Linked DNA regions of Macaca mulatta. The protein of the gene in region 5 binds, or shares a complex with, the protein of the main gene of each other region. Links are inferred from orthologs where the notes say so. Each region holds a gene or a part of one and is shown on either strand. Other genes may lie near its edges. The genes, in order: CFTR, ITGB3, ITGA2B, ITGB2 and FLNA.

Region 1 (4,120 bases), on a different chromosome or scaffold from region 5:
TTCAAAGATACGTTTAGGATTTCAGTCATGACCTTAAGTCACATTTGAACAGTTTTCTGGTCGATAAGTCCTTATTCCCACATTATGTATGTATCTTGATGCAAATTCTGAATATCATGTTGCAATTAGTGCATTTGGACATGCTTGCTAACTGTGTTAAAGCTCTGAATAATGGTAAAGTTTTATTTCTACCAAAACAAATTTGGACCATAATGTTTTATGATAAAAATCTATGGTCTTCCTATGTACATGTGTGTGTACATGCTTAAAATGGAATGTTATAGTTAAATGTAATTCTTTAAAAGTATATAACTCCAGTGGCTACTTGGTTTGGCTACTTGGTTTGTAGATATTTGCTTTCCTGTTTCATTGTTAAACAGGCCTAGAAGTTATTATTTCATGAAACTAATGTGAGGAAAGAGACTAGGTTGATGTATAAGTGACATTATAAAAATACATGAGGGATGATTTGATTAGAAGCAGTATTACACAGTGATAGGAGTAATGGTTTAGAACTAGACCCAGGTTTGAATCTTAGCTCTATCATTATAGGCATTTACTTAACTTTTCTTGTTTGCTTACTCAACTGAAAACTGAAGATAATAACACCTGTTTACATGGTTGTTGTAAGGGTTATATGAATAATGTCTGGCAAATAGTAAGAACTCAAGTAACTGTTTCATTCTTTCCAGAAGGAGATTGACTGAAAAATATTTGGAGTCTCCTGCAGCCATATTCCTTGGTCAGCTTCTATGATTCTCTTTGGAGCTTAATTCTTAATCCCTTTATTTTCACTTGCTTGTTGATAACAAAGAATAATTTATTTCAAAATAATTTATTTCAAAAATAATTTTTTGAAATAATTTATTTCAAACGCATGTATTATATTTGATGGGCCACACTAATAGTTATAAACCAAACAACAGATTGGGGATGGGGAAGTGGATGGAGTGAGTTCAGTCACATGTCTGGGAAAAGTCAATAGTGAAGACAGTCTCAATTTTTGTCATACTGGAGAGTGAAAACACAGGTAGAGGATTTCAAACAACAGGGTGGATGGTGAGTTAAAAGTGCTGAAGTTCTTTCCTGGTGTCTAACTTAATGCAATGTGGTTTATCTCTTTGCCCTTTTCTCTACTATTCAAATTTAGGATAATAAAGATTAAATGTTTCTAAATCTTACTTTACAATATTCAAGAAAAAAGGTATGCTTTTGTCCACTGAAGTGCAAAGCAGAGCTATGAAAACCTGCTGAACACATTCTTTATTTTCAACACATGTTCTTGTCTTTCCATCATGAAATGCATGTTTTATTTGTACTGTAGCTGGGTGACCACAAGTTAACAATAAGATCATTCACAAGACCCTTGCCTTAGATGTGTTGACAATGAAGTAATCAGGCCAAAATTTTTACTTTCCTTTGAATTTTTCAATTCAAACACAACGTGTGCTTGCTTTTACACAATAGGGTTCAGGGATTAGAGGGTTGGCTCTTTAAATACCGTCAGAGACACAGGCAATCCTACACCAAGTGCTCAGAAGGAAGGCGCCTACGCCTGGGAATGTCCAGTTGCCCTTGGAGAGTTGAAGATGGCGTTTCTCTGAGTCAGGTCAAAGTTAACACATTACCTTCGCTTCAAAGACTGCTTGGATTCCTTTCGGTGGATTAGTCAAGATGTTTTGCTGACTGAGACTAGGAAATCTATAGGAGGGCGGGTTAGTTTACATTGTTGCTTGTCATTGTCGCTAAAACACTCCAAAGCCTTCCTTAAAAATGCACACTGGACTAAAAACGACAGACAAGGAACAAATCCTGGGCTGGTAATTAGGCGAAGCACTATCTCCTCTTACCTCCTTGTAGATTTTTTTTCCCCCTTTAAGTACGTGTCCTCAGATTTCTTTGTCATCCTTGGAGTTCACTCACCTAAGCCTGAAACTAATAAAGCTTGGTTCTTTTCTCCAACACGCAGAGGAAGCGCTAAGGTGAATGCATCAGACCCACACTGCCGCGGAACTTTTCGGCTCTCTAAGGCTGTATTTTGATACACGAAAGGCACATTTTCCTTCCCTTTTCAAAATGCACCTTGCAAACGTAACAGGAACCCAGCTAGGATCATCGGAAAAAGGAGGAAGAGGAGGAAGGCAGGCTCGGGGGAAGCTGGTGGCAGCGAGTGCTGGGTCTGGTGGACCCTGCCGCGAAGGACGGTCCAGGAGGCTCTCCGGGGAGCCAGTTCTGCCGGTGGCTTCTTCTGTCCTCCAGCGTTGCCAACCGCACCTAAAGAGCGGCCGCGACTGTCGCCCACCTGCGGGATGGGCCTGGTGCTGGGCGGTAAGGACACGGACCTGGAAGGAGCGCGCGCGAGGGAGGGAGGCTGGGAGTCAGAATCAGAAAAGGGAGGTGCGGGGCGGCGAGGGAGCGAAGGAGGAGAGGAGGAAGGAGCGGCCGGGGTGCTGCCGGGGGTGCGTAGTGGGTGGAGAAAGCCGCTAGAGCAAATTTGGGGCCGGACCAGGCAGCACTCGGCTTTTAACCTGGGCAGTGAAGGCGGGGGAAGGAGCAAAAGGAAGGGGTGGTGTGTGGAGTAGGGGTGGGTGGGGGGAGTTGGAAGCAAATGACATCACAGCAGGTCAGAGAAAAAGGGTTGAGCGGCAGGCACCCAGAGTAATAGGTCCTTTGGCATTAGGAGCTTGAGCCCAGTCGGCCCTAGCGGGGACCCCAGCGCCCGAGAGACCATGCAGAGGTCGCCTCTGGAAAAGGCCAGCGTTGTCTCCAAACTTTTTTTCAGGTGAGAGGGTGGCCAACCGAGCTTTGGAAAGACACGTGCCCACGAAAGATTAGGGCGTGTGTATGGGCTGGATTTGGGGAAAAGAAATAAGCAGTTTTTAAAAAGATGCGCTATCATTCATTGTTTTGAAAGAAAATGTGGGTATTGTGGAATAAAACAGAAAGCGTTAAGAAGAGATTGAAGAATGAATTGAAGCTGATTGAATAGACAGCCACATCTACTTGCAACTGAAAAGTTAGAATCTCAAGACCCAAGTATGCTACTATGCAGTTATTTTATTTGATTTTTCTAAGAAACTAAAAAAACTTGTTAATAATAAATACTTAAGTGTGGTTTATTGGTTTTCCCCCTTCATGCCTTGGACACTTGATTATCTTCTTGGCACATACAGGTGCCATGCCTGCATATAGTAGGTGCTCAGAAAACATTTCTTGACTGAATTCTGCCAAAAAAATTTTTGGGGTAGGTAGAAAATATGTGCTTAAAATATTTATTGTTATGAGACTGGATAAATCTAGTATTTGTCACAAGTACATTGTTCTTTAAAAATTGAAGGCAAATTTGTTGAAATATTTATTTAGAAAAAAGTTAACTTTACAAGCTATAAATTTTAAAAGCCATAGGAATAGATACTGAAGTTATATCCAACTGACATTTAATAAATTGTATTCCTAGCCTAATGTGATGAGCCATAGAAGCTTGCAAACTTTGAGCCATAGAAGCTTGCAAACTTTATCTAATGAGATTTTGAAAAACAGCGTCTAAGTTCGGAATCTTAGGCAAAGTGTTATTAGATGTAGCACTTCATATTTGAAGTGTTCTTTGGATATTGCATCTACTTTGTTCCTGTTATACCTGTGTGAATGAATGAGTAGGTACTTCTCTCTCGTGGGACATTACTTGACTCATAATTACCCAATGAATAAGCATACTGAGGTATCAAAAAAGTGAAATATGTTATAAATAGCTCATATAAGTGTGTAGGGGGGAAGAGATTTAGCTTTCACATTTCTGTTATGTTTAGTTCTCTGCATGTGCAGCTAATCCTGGAACTCCGGTGCTAAGGAGAGACTGTGGCCCTTGAAGGAGAGCTCCTCCCGGTGGATGAGAGAGAAGGACTTTACTCTTTGGAATTACCTTTTTGTATTGATGTTATAGCACCTTTTGTTACTTCTTCTATAAAATCGGCTTATCTATTGATCTGTTTTCCTACTTCTTATAAAATCAGAATGTTAATTGGCATAAATTATAGACCTTTTTAGCAGAGAACTTTGAGGAAGCTAAATGCCAATCAGTCTAAAAATGCAGTTTTCAGAAGAATTAATATTCCATGGATAG
Region 2 (4,307 bases), on a different chromosome or scaffold from region 5:
ACTGTACGCTGCTTCTCAGAGAGTGCGGGGCTAGCCCAGCCCAACCCATCACCACTTCTTGAATCATCCCAATCACAAGATTAATCTGTGAACAGATTGCCCAAGGATTTTTTTTTTTTAATTTTTAGTAGAGATTAGGTCTCACTATGTTGCCCAAGCTGGTCTCGAACTCCTGGGCTCAAGCAATCCTCCTACCTCCACTTCCCAAAGTGCTGGGATAACAGGCATAAGCCACCGTGCCTGACCAGATATCTTAAAGTTGATTTTTCAACACAAACATAGGTATGTCAATGCAGTGGAATCCAATACACTCCAAAGTGAATTTGGAATACTGTGAATGTGAAAATTTTTTAATGACAGCAAAAATTGTTGTAAGTGCATGGAGGCAAGCATCTCATCCTGGACAGGGAAAGCATATCTTTTTTTTTTTTTTTTTTTTTTTGACTGAGTTGCCCTGGTAGATTTCTCCATTCCCCGCATCTGATCCAAGGCTCCACATGTACGAGGGCAGAATGCTGGAGATTCCTATTTCTGTGTCATAGTCATCAGACTGCTCACTGCACTCGAACACTATCAGCTGATCTGTCACATAGGAAATTCAGCAATAACCACTGCAATATTCCCCTCGCATCAACTGTAATCCCTCCTTCAAGATATCCTTGGCCAGGCGCAGTGGCTCCCGCCTGTAATCCCAGCACTTTGGGAGGCCGAGGCAGGTGGATCACAAGGTCAAGAAATCGAGACCATCCTGGCCAACATGGAGAAACTCCGTCTCTCTAGCGAGAGTCCATCTCAAAAAAAAATAATAATAATAATAATAATAATAATATCCTTGCCCTGTCCAGGATGAATTACACGTCTATACATACACAGAAGAGTCTTGAAGGGAATCACTAAAGTATTTTCGAATAGTTTATCTTTGAAGTGAACTTATCAACAAAGCTTCCCTTTTTAAAATAAATCCTGGCCAGATGCGGTGGCTCACGCCTGTATTCCTAGCACTTTGAGAGGCCGAGGTGAGTGGATCACTTGGGGCCAGGAGTTCGAGACCAGCTTGGCCAACATGATGAAACCCTGTCTCTACTAAAAATACAAAAATTACCCGGCGTGGTGGCAGGCGCCTGTAATCCCAGCTACTCGGGAGGCAGAGTCAGGAGAATCGCTTAAACCCAGGAGGCAGAAGTTGCAGTGAGCCGAGAACCCACCACTGCACTCCAGCCTGGGCAACAGAGGGAGACTCAGTCTCAAAAAATAAATAAATAAAACAAAATAGGGCGCGGTGGCTCAAGCCTGTAATCCCAGCACTTTGGGAGGCCGAGACGGGTGGATGACGAGGTCAGGAGATCGAGACCATCCTGGCTAACACTAAAAAATACAAAAAAGAAAAAACTAGCCAGGCGAGGTGGCGGGCGCCTGTAGTCCCAGCTACTCGGGAGGCTGAGGCAGGAGAATGGCATAAATCCGGGGGACGGCTCTTGCAGTGAGCAGAGATCCGGCCACTGCACTCCAGCCTGGGTGACAGAGCAAGACTCCGTCTCAAAAAAATAAAATAAAATAAAATAAAAAATCCCTTCTGCAGGGTGTAGGTTGTTTTACGAGTACTACAGTTTTTATTAAAAATACTTATATGCACTCTTGTGTCATCCTCTGAGGCAGAGGCGGCCCCAGCAGACCAGGAGCCAGGGTTTCTCCCCACCCCAGGCAAAATCTCCAAGGACTCCGAGAGGACCACGGTCAGCAACCCCGGGATATGCCAGCTCCATCCCTCCACCTGTGTCCCCAGCACCAAAGAAGCCGAATGCCGATTGCCTTGACGGCTGACGGTGTGCGCAGCAGCCAGAGACAAAGCCAAGGATCTCACTGGCCCAAGGGAGCCTTTTCATGGCTCCCCGAATACACTAGAGATTTTTCGGGTGCAGGGTCTGCCCCGGGAGTAGAGGCACCGCTGCCACCCGGGGACACTGGAGGAGGCAAAGCCCTCATCCTGCTCCAAAACAATCCCGCAGGAAGCCAAGTTGAAGGAAAAAAGAAAAAAGAGAAAAAGAAAAAGAAAAAACCTTTTCCTGGAGAAAGCGTAGCAGGAGAAATTGGAAACGTGGGGAAACTGGCTAACCCGCGCGCGCGCTCGCTCTCACCCAGGAACCTACGGCGGCATCCCTCTGCCAAGGCCCGGGAACAATCCCCGGAAGCCCCACCTCGCCTTGGCTCCTGGGCCAGTAGTCCTTGGCCCGACCGGGACCACCAACGACGCGCGCAGCCCGGGCTGATGGCGGGACTCAGAGATGAGCCCACCGCACCGTGAGCGCCGCGGCGGCCGGGAAGGCTCTCAGCCTGGCTGATGGCTTCGGCGTCCCGGAGGACCCGCCCCCAGGCACCAGGCACCTCTCAGCCTCGCCACCGCCAGGCCAGGAAGGTCCCCAGCTCCCGGCTCCGACGGCCCCAGCCAGGACCCGCGCATTCCCAGCGCAGACGCGCTGAACCAGCCCTCCGGTTTTCCCGGCTCCAAGTCCGCAACTTGACCGCGGCGCGGATCCTGGGGCAGCTGCGTCGCTGCCAAGCCGGAGCCTCACTCACCTCCGACGCCAACGCCCGCCAGCGCCCCCAGCGCCAGCACAGTTGCCCAGAGCGGCCGGGGCCCGGGCTGCGCTCGCATCTCGTCCGCCTCCCGCCGAGCTCCGCCCGCCCCACAGTGGGCGCCGCCGCCCGCGGCCGCTTTTCCCGCAGCGGGAGGGGAGGGGACGCGGTGGGTGGGACGCAACGGGGCGGGCCACGGACTTGCGCTTCCTCCCTTCGGGCTTCTCTGGACCCTGTGCCTGAGAGGGAGCGGTGGGAAACTGCTGCTACTCTCCCGCCGCCTCCCTCGCCTCGCCCACGAGGACCCGCCTGCCAGCCAGGTTGTCAGCGCATCCTGGTCCCGGGGGTCCGCGACTGGGCACTTGGAAGCTCAGAAAGGCCAGGAGCTTGTGACCCCTCTCTGGACCCTTCCAGTCCCGCCTCCCGGGATACCTTGTTTCATTTGGATTCTTGGGACACATTCACCCACTGCCTCGAGTTTCATTCATTCACACTTTAATTAATTTGATTGACAGACATCTGTTGAATGCCTTCTCTGAGCCGATTGTCTTTTATTATTAACTAATTTTTTTCCTGCCTTAGTTTGGTTTTCCGGTAGACTACCTACCTGTTGAGGGCAAGACCACATCCCAAGCTTGTGTAAGCAGTGATGAGTCCATGAAGAGCCTCACCCCACAAACACTTGGTTGCACCTAGCCGGTGTCTGAAAACGTTTCAGAACACAGTCAGCATATTGCCTCCAAATTCACACTAACAGGCTTTGGGACTTTATCTGTTTTCCTCAAAGGCCTCCTGTCTGACTCCCCCAAACTGTGGCCCCTTAACTCCCACCCCAATCTTTCCTTGAGTCCCTGGATCTTCCCCAGACTTAAAACCTCTGGAAGCTCAGAGAGGCAAAATACTATGGCTATGAGCAAGAGGCCACCAGGAAGTAGCCGGGGTAGTGCAGCCCTCCTCATTGGGTAGCCCTGATGGTGATAAAAAAAACAAGGCCTGAGGCATCAGTTCCCTTTTAGGGCTCTCAGAGTGGCCCTTGGCTTCCCTATGCAGAGTCCCCACCCTCTTCTGCGACACACAAGATGCCAGACAACTGGCCCTGACCCATCTCTGCAGCCCATCTCACACCCTAAGTCCAAGAAGATACATGTCATTCCCAAATGCTCCATGTCTTCCTGTCTGACTGATTTTCCTTCCTTTTTCCACTTGGAAAATTCCACTTATCCTTCAAAACATCTCCGATGCCCTCTTTTCCATGTAATTTTTTTCTGACAATCCTCCACCTCCTGCCCCACCCTCCCAAACACTAGGATACACCTTAACAGTAACACACATCAGCAGAAGCGTCACTAGCAATTTGCAAGGGGAAGAGCCAGCTCTGGAAAGGGTAGTTGGGCCCTCTCACCTGGGCTTTCAGGTTGAAGCTCCATCTACCTCCCCTGGCTTCAGAGGGCCTTTAGGCCAGAAGCGTTTTAACAGCAATTTCAAGGCCCTGGAGCAAAGTTCAGGTCACATGGCCTGGTTACATCTCTGCCTAAAATATTTACTTATCTGCTCCATTCCCATATATATAAAACCAATCTCCAGCCACTTAGGTGTCTCCTCAGCCTATCCCTACTGGCACCAACCACTTGGGGTGGGCAACGACCTCAGCAAATATGCTAAGTCCACAACCCAAGCCCAAGCCCTAGCAAACATGACGCAATTGTGCAAGTGAGTCCATTCTGCACTCCCAG
Region 3 (3,509 bases), on a different chromosome or scaffold from region 5:
TCTAAACCAGTCCTTGGACCTCTTGCCTCACTCAAGGGGAAGGGCAGAGCTAGGAGGAAGTGCGTCTTGTCCTCAAGACCAGCCAGGAATTCCTGAAGGCAGAACTTACACCCTATATACCCTCTATATCCTCTGATTCTTTCTGGTGGCAGGGGTGTCTAAAGGCCCCAGAATTTCAGGTGCTGTCCTTTCTAGTAGTATGTACCTGGAAGTGTTCCCAGGAGAATGACATTTTTTGGGTTTGTGTGTTTGTTTTACCTTTTTTGCTCTACTAGAGAAATACATTCTATTTCTTTCTTTCTTTCTTTTCTTTCTTTCTTTCCTTCTTTTTTGGAGATGGAGGCTCGCTCTGTTGCCCAAGCTGGAGTGCAGTGGCGTGATCTTGGCTCACCGCAACCTCCGCCTCTACTGCCTCAGCCTCCCAAGTAGCTGAGATTACAGGCATGTGTCACCACGCCTGGCTAATTTTGGTATTTTTAGTAGAAACGGGGTTTCACCATTTTGGCCAGGCTGGTCTCGAACTCTTGACCTCAGGTGATCTACCTGCCTTGGCCTCCCAAAGTGCTGGGATTACAGGTGTGAGCCACCCCACTGGGCCGAGAATGACATTCTAATAATGGAGACATAGATCCCTGGTCCCTGGATTACCCACTTGGGTGGGCCACCATCTCTCCTTGACTCCCTGTGAGGCAAGGCGGGGCCAAGCCTGTGCCCCACTGGAGATTCCACTGTCCTTCACACCTCACCTTCCACATGGCCAGGACCAGGATGGTGAGCAGCAGCAGGCCGCCCAGCACACCCACCAGCACCCACCAGATTGGAATGGCCCTCTCCTCCAAGGCCCGAAGCAGCTGTGTCCGCACCTGGGGGCAAACCCACGTGTCTTCTCAGTCACCTTGACACCTGCCTTTCCTTCTTTCCTTCCTTCCTTCCTTCCTTCCTTCCTTCCTTCCTTCCTTCCTTCCTTCCTTCCTTCCTTCCTTCTTTCTTTCCTTCTTTCTTTCTTTCTTAGATGGAGTCTCACTCTGTCACCAGGCTAGAGTGCAGTGGCGTGATCTCCACTCACTGCAACCTCCACCTCCTGGGTTCAAGAGATTCTCCTGCCTCAGCTTCTCGAGTAGCTGGGACTACAGGTGCGTGCCACCACGCCCAGCTAATTTTTGTATTTTTAGTAGAGACAGGGTTTCACCATGTTGGCCAGGATGGTCTCAATCTCTTGACTTCATGATCCACCTGCCTCAGCTTCCCAAAGTGCTGGGATTACAGGCATAAGCCACCACACCCGGCAGACACCTGCCTTTCATAAAGACTCAAACCTCAGGCTGGTGACCTCCAGCCATGCCACCCACCCATACCACCCCTCAGACCTTCCTGACTGGTCACTGACTGGGGACAATGGGTCCTGCAGGACTGGTCTCTGCTCCAGCCCCCCACACTCACCTGAGCTTCCCCTCGTGGCAGGCTGAGCGGGGGCACGGCATAGGGGAGGGAGGACACGTTGAACCATGCCTGTGACTGCAGCACAAACTGATCCAGTGGCCTCTGGACAGGTTGGGGTTGAAAGCCATAAACACCCACACGAGGCCTATTGGTTGCAGGAGTCCGGGTCCCACACTCCCGGCGGGGAAGCCCTGCCTCTGGCCTAATCCCCTGCAATCCCCCAAAGTAAACCTTGCCTTCCCTCTCTTCCTGCCTTCCCACACCAAACCCTGCCCCTCCCAGAGCAAAGTGGTCCCTGCCTAGAATGCCCGGCCCTGCCACCCTACGGCCCGCCCCACCTGGTGGAGGCTGGGCAGCCACAGGAAAGCCAGCACCGTGACCATGGCCCGCTGCCCGCGCGCCATCTCCTGCAGGTCACACTGCACCACAGTACAGGGCGCCGAGTCGCAGCTCTGAGGGGAGGCGTCGTCAGTTCCCAGCCCATCCTGGCCCATCGCCCCATCACCCCCCCGCCCTTACCCCCAGGACCCAACGCAGAGGGGGCCGGGCGTTCAGGGAGCGATGGCCTCCCCATCAGGAAGGGCCTTGGATCCAAGCTTCGGATGCTGGCTCTCCACGGGCTTGCTCACATAGTCCCAGAGATGCAGGGAGGGTCATACCCCAGCACGCAATGCCCAGAGCTATGATAACCTTGCTTTGGCGTTATTTTATGTTCCTTAACGTACTGGGAAGCTTTAAAAAAGTGCAGGTGTCTTTCAGCTCACCCCAGACACAAGCCAGTGTGCTCCTCCATGTTGAAGTGCTCCGTGGGACCAAGCGTGGCCCACAGAGGCCCACAGCACACCCGGACCCCTCTCCCTCCTCCCATCCCCTCTGCCCCTTGGGCCCCGGGGAGGCCCCACTGGAGACCAGAGAGCCTGCTCACTACGAGAACTGGATCCTGAAGCCTCGAGGGCTGCTCGGGCTCTGGCAGGAAGATCTGTCTGCGATCCCGCTTGTGGTGGGCCGGGTGAACGGGGGAGGGGCTGGGGGTGGGCAGCCCCCAGTCCACCTGGTAGGGCGAAGGAGTGGTCAGGCCCAGGTCTCTGCCGAACCCCAGCCCACAGAGGTGCCCCGGTGGTTGGTCTGGGGCCCCCTTCACAGCTCTTTCTTCCACCCAGCTCTCACCTTGAGGGGGTTGACAGGAGGCTGTGGGAAGCACTGAAGGCCCCCCTGGGGCTGTATATCCAGGATGTAGAGCAGGTCAGAGTGCTGGGACTGCCCCGGGAGGTGGATGCTGAGGTGAAGGCCATTCACAGTCCCAGGGCCATTGTTGTGGAGCTGGAGGGGTGGTGGTGGCAGGGTGCGGGGAGCTCAGCCCCTCAACCGGAGTTCTAAGGACTCGCTCACCCCAGCCCGGGACGTGAGGCTCCTCCCTACCTCATAGGTGTGCTCCACTTTGGGTCCCCGGCTGTCCAAGCTGTTCTGCTCCCTGTCACCTTCTTCTGCAGCCACCACCAGGGAGGCTGGAAAGGAGTTCCTGCAGGTGCCCAAGACCCCCAGAGAGAGTGTGATGCCCTGACTGGCCTGTGGGGTTCCCCAGCGCCCCCTGGAGTTGAGAGCCCTGAATACCACCTCCATTCTCCACCCCTGGCCTCTCACCCTCGCAGCTCCACTTGGGCCTCTGCCCGGACTGGCACATCCAGCAGCACAATCTTGCTGTTTGGATTCTGGCTGTTCTTGCTAGAGGGGAGGGGATGAGGAGAAACAGGGCCAGGGACACCAGCCCAGTGACTCTCTGAGGGTGAGGCCAGAATTTTAGAGAGTTCAGAGAAAGCTAATTATACAAACAGCATGCCACACTGAAGTTAGGCCTTGGGAAAGAACGTCCTCTACGGCTCCAAGACTCAGATGTAAGTCTCTGAGGAAGAAACGGAACTAGGCTTCTTCAAAGACCTTTTTTTTTTTTTTTTTTTTTTTTTTGAGACGGAGTCTCGCTTTGTCACCCAGGCTGGAAGGCTGGAGTGCAGGGGCCCAATCTCAGCTCACTGCAACCTCCTCCTCCCAGGTTCAGTTCAAGCTATTCTCCT
Region 4 (3,509 bases), on a different chromosome or scaffold from region 5:
TTTCCAGAGCAGTCTGGGACCTCTGGTGCCTGGGGCCCTGAGCGGTGCCTAGTGTGCACTTGTGCCTACCTATGCCCACCAGGGCCCCGGGCTTCCCCGGGGAGCAGCCCAGGGTGCAGCTGGGCCATGCACCAGGAAGAAATTCAGTGGGTGAGGGCTTCTCTGGGGCTTGCCCAGGACAGGTGTACAGAGCAAGAGGAATTCCACCCCCCAGGGTGTCTTCCCAGGGCCCAAGTCCACCGTGGGGGTTTCCTGTGGCCTCCTCCAGCCCCAGGTGCCCTGTCTACCACCAGAGTGTCCACCCCCCTTCCCCATAGAGACCCACAGAGAAGAGTCCTGCATGAAGAGGGCCTGAGCTTGGGTTTCAAGGAGCATCGCCCACACCATCAATGAGAGAGGACATGGAGCTCCCCGTGGAACTGCCAGGCCAGGGTGTCCTGGAGGCTGCAACCAGCCCACAGGGCAGTGGCTCTCCTCCCAGATCACCCTCCTGCTGACCTGCAGTGGGGAGGTTGCTGGCCACCCCATGGGTCCCGGCTGAGCGGTGTGGGAGACTCACATTGTAAGCGTTCTTAATGAGCTGGACCACATTGCTGGAGTCGTCAGACAGCTCCCCCACCGCTGACTTCGGGATGATCTCAGTGAGTTTCTGTTGGGCAAGAAGACCAGACACGGCATGGCTAGGACCTGTGCCATGGCATCTCCATGCACCGGGCTCACCCTGAAGACCTGTGCCATGGCATCTCCACGCACCGGGCTCACCCTGAGGACCTGTGCCATGGCGTCTCCACGCACCGGGCTCACCCTGAGGACCTGTGCCATGGCGTCTCCACGCACCGGGCTCACCCTGAGGACCTGTGCCATGGCGTCTCCACGCACCGGGCTCACCCTGAGGACCTGTGCCATGGCGTCTCCACGCACCGGGCTCACCCTGAGGACCTGTGCCATGGCGTCTCCACGCACCGGGCTCACCCTGAGGACCTGTGCCATGGCGTCTCCACGCACCGGGCTCACCCTGAGGACCTGTGCCATGGCGTCTCCACGCACCGGGCTCACCCTGAGGACCTGTGCCATGGCGTCTCCACGCACCGGGCTCACCCTGAGGACCTGTGCCATGGCGTCTCCACGCACCGGGCTCACCCTGAGGACCTGTGCCATGGCGTCTCCACGCACCGGGCTCACCCCAGGGGCTTCTGCACCTGCAAAATGGCTGGGACGGTCCTCAATGCAGTTTCTCGCTTGGTCCCCAGAGTGTGTGGTCAGCGATATGTGGTAAGGGGGGGTAAAAAGCCCTGAGCTGCCCGGGGCCATGCCTGGAATCCCAGCACTCAGGAGGCCTATGTGGGAAGATCCAAAGCCAGTGCTGAATCCCAGGGCTCCATTTGTTTGGTTTGGCTCCTCCCATTTGAGGCATTTATGGAAGGCTTGTCTCCATCAACATATGGCAGAAGGGTGTGTTCTCTGTGTGCACAAGCGGTGGTTTCCCTCAGGAGGTGGCCTGGTTTCTCTCCTGTGCACCTTTGACCTTTAGTGACTTTTGTCTGTATCCTCCCACCTCGGGCAGCGGCTGGCACCCAGGAGGGTTTGCTTCGCAATAAACCGTAACTGTGAGTTTACTAGTTCCTGAGCTCTGCAAGTCCTTCCAGCAAATCACTGACCCTGAGAGTGGTCTTGGGAACCCCGACAGCACCTGAGCGACTTGAACGCACGAACCTGCTCAGGCCAGGCTGAACACATGGCACGGGCGGTGGAAATTCGGGATGAACGTATTTCATTGGGGGCTTCTGCTTCTAGGAGCAGAGCTGGTTATCGGCTGTGCTTCCTTTGTAAAACTCATCCCACCCCACGCTCCAAGCTTGTGAACGTTTTTGTGTAATTTTATCTTCGTGGAGAGTGTTGATATTCAAATGTATGTGAGCATAAAATAAGCATGTTTCCATAAAATAAAGAATTGTGCTATATTCCAGAAAAGAACAGAAAATATCACCAATGCCAAGACACGCTGTTAACACAGCTGAGTTTCAGGGATAGGGAGGAATTCCTCCTTCTATCGACACGCAGGTGTCCTGTCCTGGACGGGAAGCCTCAGGCTCCTCACCCACAGGCATCTGTGACCCGGGCCGGCTGGCCCTCACGTGCCCAGCATGTGGAGGTGGCACTCAGACCTGCAGTGGCGCTGGGTGTGGCCTGCGGCTGAAACGTGCCCCTGCCCAACAGATGCTCAGGACCCAACAGCACTCACCTCATACGTCTTCACCATCTTCCTGGTCACCGCGAAGATGGGCTGGATGTTGTTTTCGGCCAGCTTGTGCGCCAGCTGGCCCACCGATGGGTAGTCCTGGAGAAAGGAGGTCCTGCTCAGCTGGCCCCGAGTCTGAGACAAGCCTTCCAGGTGCCCGCCCCTGTCTGCCCCACTCAGCCTTAGCCCTGCCTGTGCTTCGGACCCTCTCGGGGGAAGGCTGGAGAGGCAGAGGCTGCCGCGCAGGAGTGCAGTGCAGAGAGCCGCCATGGCCTCTGGGCAACGTGTGCATAGACTTGGGCTTTCAGAGTCCAGCCAAGAGCAGCATTTGAGGCGTCTCACCGTGGGACTGGGGATGTCCACGGGGCAGAATCCCAGCCTGCCCCACACGGTGGACCTGCTTTCGCACTGAGAGGCGCTCAGTTTCAGCAGAGGCCATGAGGGTCAGGTGCGGCTCTCGCTACCCAAGTTCCAGGACCCGACGGCCGTCCCTCCCGTCTGTGGCTTCGGCAGAGGACCTGAGTTTTGCATCTCTAAAGTCCTTTGCCGCCCCCAGAGCCTATGATGTCAGGCCGCAAGAGCATTGCACCATGGCCAGCGAGGACAAGCCCCTGTGACCGGTGGTGGCCTCTGGGCCCACGGCTGATCCCAGCCAGAGGTCGTGGCCCCTCTGAGCCATTGAAATGCCTCTGCAGAGACAGGCTCGTCCTAACCCTGTGCATCCTGGGTCCCTCCCCGCATTTTCCTCATGGTCCCCGCAGTCCCTCACCCAGCTCAGGCGCTGGGGACAGGGAGGGGCCGCACTGGAGGAGGCGGACTCAGGGGCAGCAGGGAAACCACAGAGGAGGCCAGGAGGAGGAGGAGGCGGATGCTCCAGGATGGGACTCTGGCCAGCGGCGGGGACAACAGGGCGCGGCTGTAGCCTGGGGGCGGTTACTGTACCTCCACAGCCGCTGACAGCCCAGGTGCGGGGGCAGTGGGGCTGGAGACCAACAGGGCCTGGGAGTGCCACAAGGGCGAGGCCGGGGCTCAGCCTGGCTGCCCCCACCAACCCCACCCTCCCCTGGCCTGAGGCCAGTCCTGGGAGACCCCACACTGCCACTTGGGGCTTCCAGAAGTTTCCTCGGGAATCTGCTCCTTGGGTTGGAAGGAGGCTCTGTAAGGTGGAGACCCCGCCTTGTTCCCTCCGTCAATGGTGTCCTGCCAGGCGGTGCCTGGGTGCCTGGGGTGGGGACTTACGAACTCGTTGCTCCTCTTGTACATGTTGTCC
Region 5 (3,509 bases):
GTGCCCTGGAGCCTCAGGGTGGGTTGTCCTTGCCATCGTCTGTCCCCAGGTGCCCATGGTGCAGCCCCCAACTTACCCAGGGTGCCCACGTCGTCCCCAATAGCCTCCACCACAAAGTCTGCTGACTTGCCAACGACGCCGCCCTCCAGCCCAGGGCCCCATGCCCGCACCTTCTGATTGCCACACTCGGTGCCCACCTTCACCTCGAAGGGACTGCGAATGGGAGAGCCACACAGGAATACCAAGAATCACTACATGAGCCAGCCTGGGCCCCACTGTGGCGGCCAGGCAGGAAGAGCCCGTGTGGCCCCTCATCATCAGGTGGGGAGGCAGGAGGAAGAGGCAGAATGTGCAGAGCTGGGAGAGGGATGCCTGGGGGCCTCACCTGCGCCCAATGTTCTGACCGCCCCATGTGATGGTCACGATATAGGTCCCAGGGACCGTGGGGTAATACTCGAAGCCATACACGCCATCCCCTAGGTCCTTCTGCTTCACGCGCTCCTCTCCCTCTGCGAAGACAAGGAGGGCCTCAGGCCTGCCCAGCAGTGAACCTGGGGGCTGCCGCCACCCACCCTGGCCTGGCTCCAGGCCAACTTACTGGGGCCCTTCACGGTGACCTTCAGCTCCCCACTGCCAGCGCCCTTTGTGTACACCTTGAAGTCGGCTGTCTCCTTCACCCGCACACCCTTGGGCTGGAGGCCCCGGCCGACTGCCCGGCAGGCACTCGGGTTACAGGCTGTAGGCAGAGGGGCCAGCTGAGCACCAGCAGCTCGGCTGGGTGACCCCTCCCTTGCCTCCTGCAGGGCGGGGCTGTCAGGACTGGAGGGTCCCTCAGAGTTTGGTTGGAGGGGGACATGCAAGAAAGAACTGGAAGGAACCGTGACCCCAGTAACTGTGGCCTGGGCCAGGACATGGCAGGCCTCCTCCCACCTGCTACACACCAGCCCAGAGCCCCCCGCCCTCCCTTCCAAGAAGAAGACAGATCCAAGTACCGTTGACCCCATGGGCAGAGCGGAGAGCAGCAGGTTTCTAGACAGCTGGAGCGAGCTCTTCCAAAGGTGAAAGCGTGAGGAGAGAGATGGAGAGGGGCGAGGAGAGGAGAGAGATGGAGAGGGGCGAGGAGAGGAGAGGAGGAAGGACCCCAGCAGGGGAGGAAAGACAGCAGGTGCCCAGACAGTGGAAGCTCAAAGAGTAGGCGCCCTGGGGTGGGCTGCAGCGGGACTGGACCAGGGGGCTCCCCCTCCTGTGGGAGGCCCAGACTGCAGTGCCACAGCAGAGGGCGGTCAGGGCCGGGCCTACCTTGGCCAACAGTGACAGTGTAGGGGCTGCGAGGGATGGGCACGCCGGCAAACGTGACGTGCACGGTGTGGACACCCTCCATGGTGGGCTGGTAGGTGCAGCGGTATGTGCTGTCGCCCCGGGCCTCCAGCTGAGGCTCTACCGTGCCCTTCTGTCCCGCGGGGTCCTGGATCACAACCTCAACCTCGCCCGTGCCAGCTCCTGCCACAAGGCACCTGCTTAGCTCCCCGGCCCCAGTGTGGCTCTCCCCACAGACCAGCCGGGCCTCGGCAGCCTCCCCTTACCTGCTGTAAAGATCTCAAAGTAGGTGGTCTTGTTGGCGATGTTGCCACTGGGCTCCAGGCCGGGGCCTTGGGCTGTCACTTTGCTGGCGTCACCCTGTGACTTATCCACATACACCTCGAAGGGGCTCTTGGCGATGTGCTGGCCAGCAAATAGCACAGTGACCTGTCCCCAGAAGGGTGGGCCGTGAGGGTAGGCTAGGGACCTCCAGCCACCGCCTGAGGTCACAAGCCTCCCCACTGGCCAAGGGCTCACCTTATGAGTCCCCGTCACCTCGGGGACGTACCAGACAGAAAAGGTGCGGTTCTTGTCATTATTGGCAGTCACTTTTGCCTGCAGTGGGAAGGAGCCTGTGAGCCTTCGCTAAGAGCAGCCCCACTGAAAGGGAGTGCCGCGGGGTCTCCGCTGCCAGCAGCTAGCCCTACCTCCTCCTGGTGTCCGGCCGGGTCCTCCACGTACACCAGCACCTCTCCCTGGCCGGCACTTCTGGTCTCCACAGTGAACTCCGCCCGCTTCTTCACCATGTTGCCTGTGGGCTCAATGCCTGGCAGGGGAGGGTGAGCCAACCACAGGCCAGTTGTTAGGGCCACAGCCTCACCCCTCCACCCCTCAGTCCTGGATGCTAAGGGAGGCGGGCAAGAGCACCGGTGGCAATGCCAGCCCCCAGGCCTCTGCAGGCTCAACGCCCCTCCCTGCTGGCCCCTAAGTCAGGTACATTCCAAACTGGGCAAGTTCATTCAGTGTGAGCTCTTGCCGCTGGGACAGGCCTGTGCCTGTTTTCTGGAACATTCATTCTCACCGCACTGGGCCCTTATTCCTGTGTGAGCTGTGACTGGGTTTTAGGTCCCTGTTACTGAGTTCTGGTTCATCTCCATGTATAACAGAGACCCCTGGGTGCTACCTCCCCGAGGACCTCACGCTGCAGGTTTCTGTGACTGGAGGAACGTTTTGGCATTCTCTTGCCTACTCAGTGGAGTGTTGCCGCTAGTCCCGACCCACTCCTGTCTGACTTTTGGGTGGCCCGATCACCTAGCCACCATGTAACCCAAGACCCCTCGGGACCTCCACGTTTGGATGGGACACTGTCTTACGGGTAAGACATTGGCACATGGGTGCACCCCTGGCTGGGCTCCCTCACCTGGCCCGTAGGCACGGGCTTTCTTCGGGTTCAGTTTGGGCCGCAAGGGTGCCCCTGGCTTCAGCTTGGCCTTGGGGAACTGGGACAGGTAGGTCATGACAGAATGCTCATCCACGTTGGGGTCCACAATCTCCTCGGGGGTGATCACCTGTCACGGGCAGAAAACAGGAGCCATCGGGCCTCCGAGTCTCTCCCAACTGCCGATCCGGTCCCCTACAGCCGCAGACAGGCCGGGCAGGTGTACCTGGGGGATGCCCAGCCAGTCATCCGCCTGCTGCATGGCCTCTCGTGCATTATTCACAGGCTTGCTGGCATCCCAAGAGTCCCAGTCAGGACACAGGCCTATGGCACAAGGAAGGCTGTGAATCCGGGGGCTACAGAAGCCCCTCAAGGGCCACCCATGGGCGACCCCAGCCCAGTCTCTCCTGCCTCTGTGCCCCCTCACCCGGGGCACAGCTGTCGACCAGGGCACCCAGGGCCCGGCCGCTCTGCCAGTCTCGGCTGAAGTTGGTGATGGGCAGCTGTGGCAGCTTGTTCTGGATCCAGCCCAGGAGCCTCTGCTTGGGGGTCTGCTTCTTGGCCTCCTCATCCTCCTCCTCATCCCACATGGGCATGGAGATGGAGTAGTGCAGGATCAGGGTCCAGATGAGGCCCAGGATCAGCTTCAGGTTCCCGTCCACGATGGCCTTGCTGTCTGTGAGTACAAGAGTGGCTACACTGGGCACACAGCTGTGCGGGAGGGGCCGCTCCCAGGCTTTGGGGTCATGGTCTGGTAGCACGGGATGGGGGG

The links.
Region 1: the proteins of FLNA (region 5) and CFTR are in contact, whole or in part, in a crystal structure (PDB 3ISW), measured with the Homo sapiens proteins. The link is inferred for Macaca mulatta from reciprocal best matches to the Homo sapiens genes FLNA and CFTR. Residues at the interface, in NP_001104026.1 of Homo sapiens: Thr2263, Gly2267, Ala2268, Gly2269, Gly2270, Leu2271, Ala2272, Ile2273, Ala2274, Val2275, Glu2276, Gly2277, Pro2278, Ser2279, Lys2280, Ala2281, Ile2283, Ser2284, Phe2285, Asp2287, Phe2311; in NP_000483.3 of Homo sapiens: Ser10, Val11, Val12, Ser13, Lys14, Leu15, Phe16, Phe17, Ser18, Trp19, Thr20.
Region 2: the proteins of FLNA (region 5) and ITGB3 are in contact, whole or in part, in an NMR structure (PDB 2MTP), measured with the Homo sapiens proteins. The link is inferred for Macaca mulatta from reciprocal best matches to the Homo sapiens genes FLNA and ITGB3. Residues at the interface, in NP_001104026.1 of Homo sapiens: Gly2236, Arg2264, Ala2268, Gly2269, Gly2270, Leu2271, Ala2272, Ile2273, Ala2274, Val2275, Glu2276, Gly2277, Pro2278, Ser2279, Lys2280, Ala2281, Ile2283, Phe2285, Asp2287, Gly2291; in NP_000203.2 of Homo sapiens: Lys742, Ile745, Thr746, Pro771, Leu772, Tyr773, Lys774, Glu775, Ala776, Thr777, Ser778, Thr779, Ile783, Tyr785, Arg786, Gly787, Thr788.
Region 3: the proteins of FLNA (region 5) and ITGA2B are in contact, whole or in part, in an NMR structure (PDB 7SFT), measured with the Homo sapiens proteins. The link is inferred for Macaca mulatta from reciprocal best matches to the Homo sapiens genes FLNA and ITGA2B. Residues at the interface, in NP_001104026.1 of Homo sapiens: Thr2263, Gly2267, Ala2268, Gly2269, Gly2270, Leu2271, Ile2273, Ala2274, Val2275, Glu2276, Gly2277, Ser2279, Ile2283, Phe2285, Asp2287, Arg2288, Lys2289, Gly2291, Cys2293, Val2295; in NP_000410.2 of Homo sapiens: Trp1019, Lys1020, Val1021, Gly1022, Phe1023, Phe1024, Lys1025, Arg1026, Asn1027, Arg1028, Pro1029, Pro1030.
Region 4: the proteins of FLNA (region 5) and ITGB2 are in contact, whole or in part, in a crystal structure (PDB 2JF1), measured with the Homo sapiens proteins. The link is inferred for Macaca mulatta from reciprocal best matches to the Homo sapiens genes FLNA and ITGB2. Residues at the interface, in NP_001104026.1 of Homo sapiens: Val2241, Thr2263, Ala2266, Gly2267, Ala2268, Gly2269, Gly2270, Leu2271, Ala2272, Ile2273, Ala2274, Val2275, Glu2276, Gly2277, Pro2278, Ser2279, Lys2280, Ala2281, Ile2283, Phe2285, Phe2311; in NP_000202.3 of Homo sapiens: Leu753, Phe754, Lys755, Ser756, Ala757, Thr758, Thr759, Thr760, Val761, Met762, Asn763.

The regions. Positions count from the first base shown.
Region 1 is NC_133408.1:157,022,844-157,026,963, forward strand, and holds the start of CFTR (cystic fibrosis transmembrane conductance regulator), read left to right. Parts: upstream 1-1,313; 5' UTR 1,314-2,328; intron 2,329-2,580; exon of another isoform or gene 2,581-2,680; 5' UTR 2,681-2,729; coding exon 2,730-2,782; intron 2,783-4,120. UniProt on the Homo sapiens protein: Epithelial ion channel that plays an important role in the regulation of epithelial ion and water transport and fluid homeostasis. Mediates the transport of chloride ions across the cell membrane.
Region 2 is NC_133421.1:71,534,288-71,538,594, reverse strand, and holds the start of ITGB3 (integrin beta-3), read right to left. Parts: upstream 2,810-4,307; 5' UTR 2,654-2,809; coding exon 2,575-2,653; intron 2,311-2,574; exon of another isoform or gene 2,303-2,310; coding exon of another isoform or gene 1,751-2,302; exon of another isoform or gene 1,657-1,750; intron 1-1,656. Other genes in the region: uncharacterized protein LOC114673163, read left to right, coding at 1,751-2,302. UniProt on the Homo sapiens protein: Integrin alpha-V/beta-3 (ITGAV:ITGB3) is a receptor for cytotactin, fibronectin, laminin, matrix metalloproteinase-2, osteopontin, osteomodulin, prothrombin, thrombospondin, vitronectin and von Willebrand factor.
Region 3 is NC_133421.1:68,750,839-68,754,347, forward strand, and holds part of ITGA2B (integrin alpha-IIb), read right to left. Parts: intron 3,163-3,509; coding exon 3,082-3,162; intron 2,960-3,081; coding exon 2,860-2,959; intron 2,761-2,859; coding exon 2,608-2,760; intron 2,492-2,607; coding exon 2,366-2,491; intron 1,893-2,365; coding exon 1,779-1,892; intron 1,586-1,778; coding exon of another isoform or gene 1,543-1,585; coding exon 1,441-1,542; intron 864-1,440; coding exon 653-863; intron 1-652. UniProt on the Homo sapiens protein: Integrin alpha-IIb/beta-3 is a receptor for fibronectin, fibrinogen, plasminogen, prothrombin, thrombospondin and vitronectin. It recognizes the sequence R-G-D in a wide array of ligands.
Region 4 is NC_133408.1:2,622,502-2,626,010, reverse strand, and holds part of ITGB2 (integrin beta-2), read right to left. Parts: coding exon 3,479-3,509; intron 2,339-3,478; coding exon 2,243-2,338; exon of another isoform or gene 1,312-2,242; coding exon of another isoform or gene 650-1,311; coding exon 560-649; intron 1-559.
Region 5 is NC_133426.1:160,547,891-160,551,399, reverse strand, and holds part of FLNA (filamin-A), read right to left. Parts: intron 3,414-3,509; coding exon 3,165-3,413; intron 3,062-3,164; coding exon 2,964-3,061; intron 2,868-2,963; coding exon 2,720-2,867; intron 2,126-2,719; coding exon 2,007-2,125; intron 1,915-2,006; coding exon 1,837-1,914; intron 1,747-1,836; coding exon 1,584-1,746; intron 1,501-1,583; coding exon 1,300-1,500; intron 737-1,299; coding exon 599-736; intron 510-598; coding exon 386-509; intron 214-385; coding exon 77-213; intron 1-76. UniProt on the Homo sapiens protein: Promotes orthogonal branching of actin filaments and links actin filaments to membrane glycoproteins. Anchors various transmembrane proteins to the actin cytoskeleton and serves as a scaffold for a wide range of cytoplasmic signaling proteins.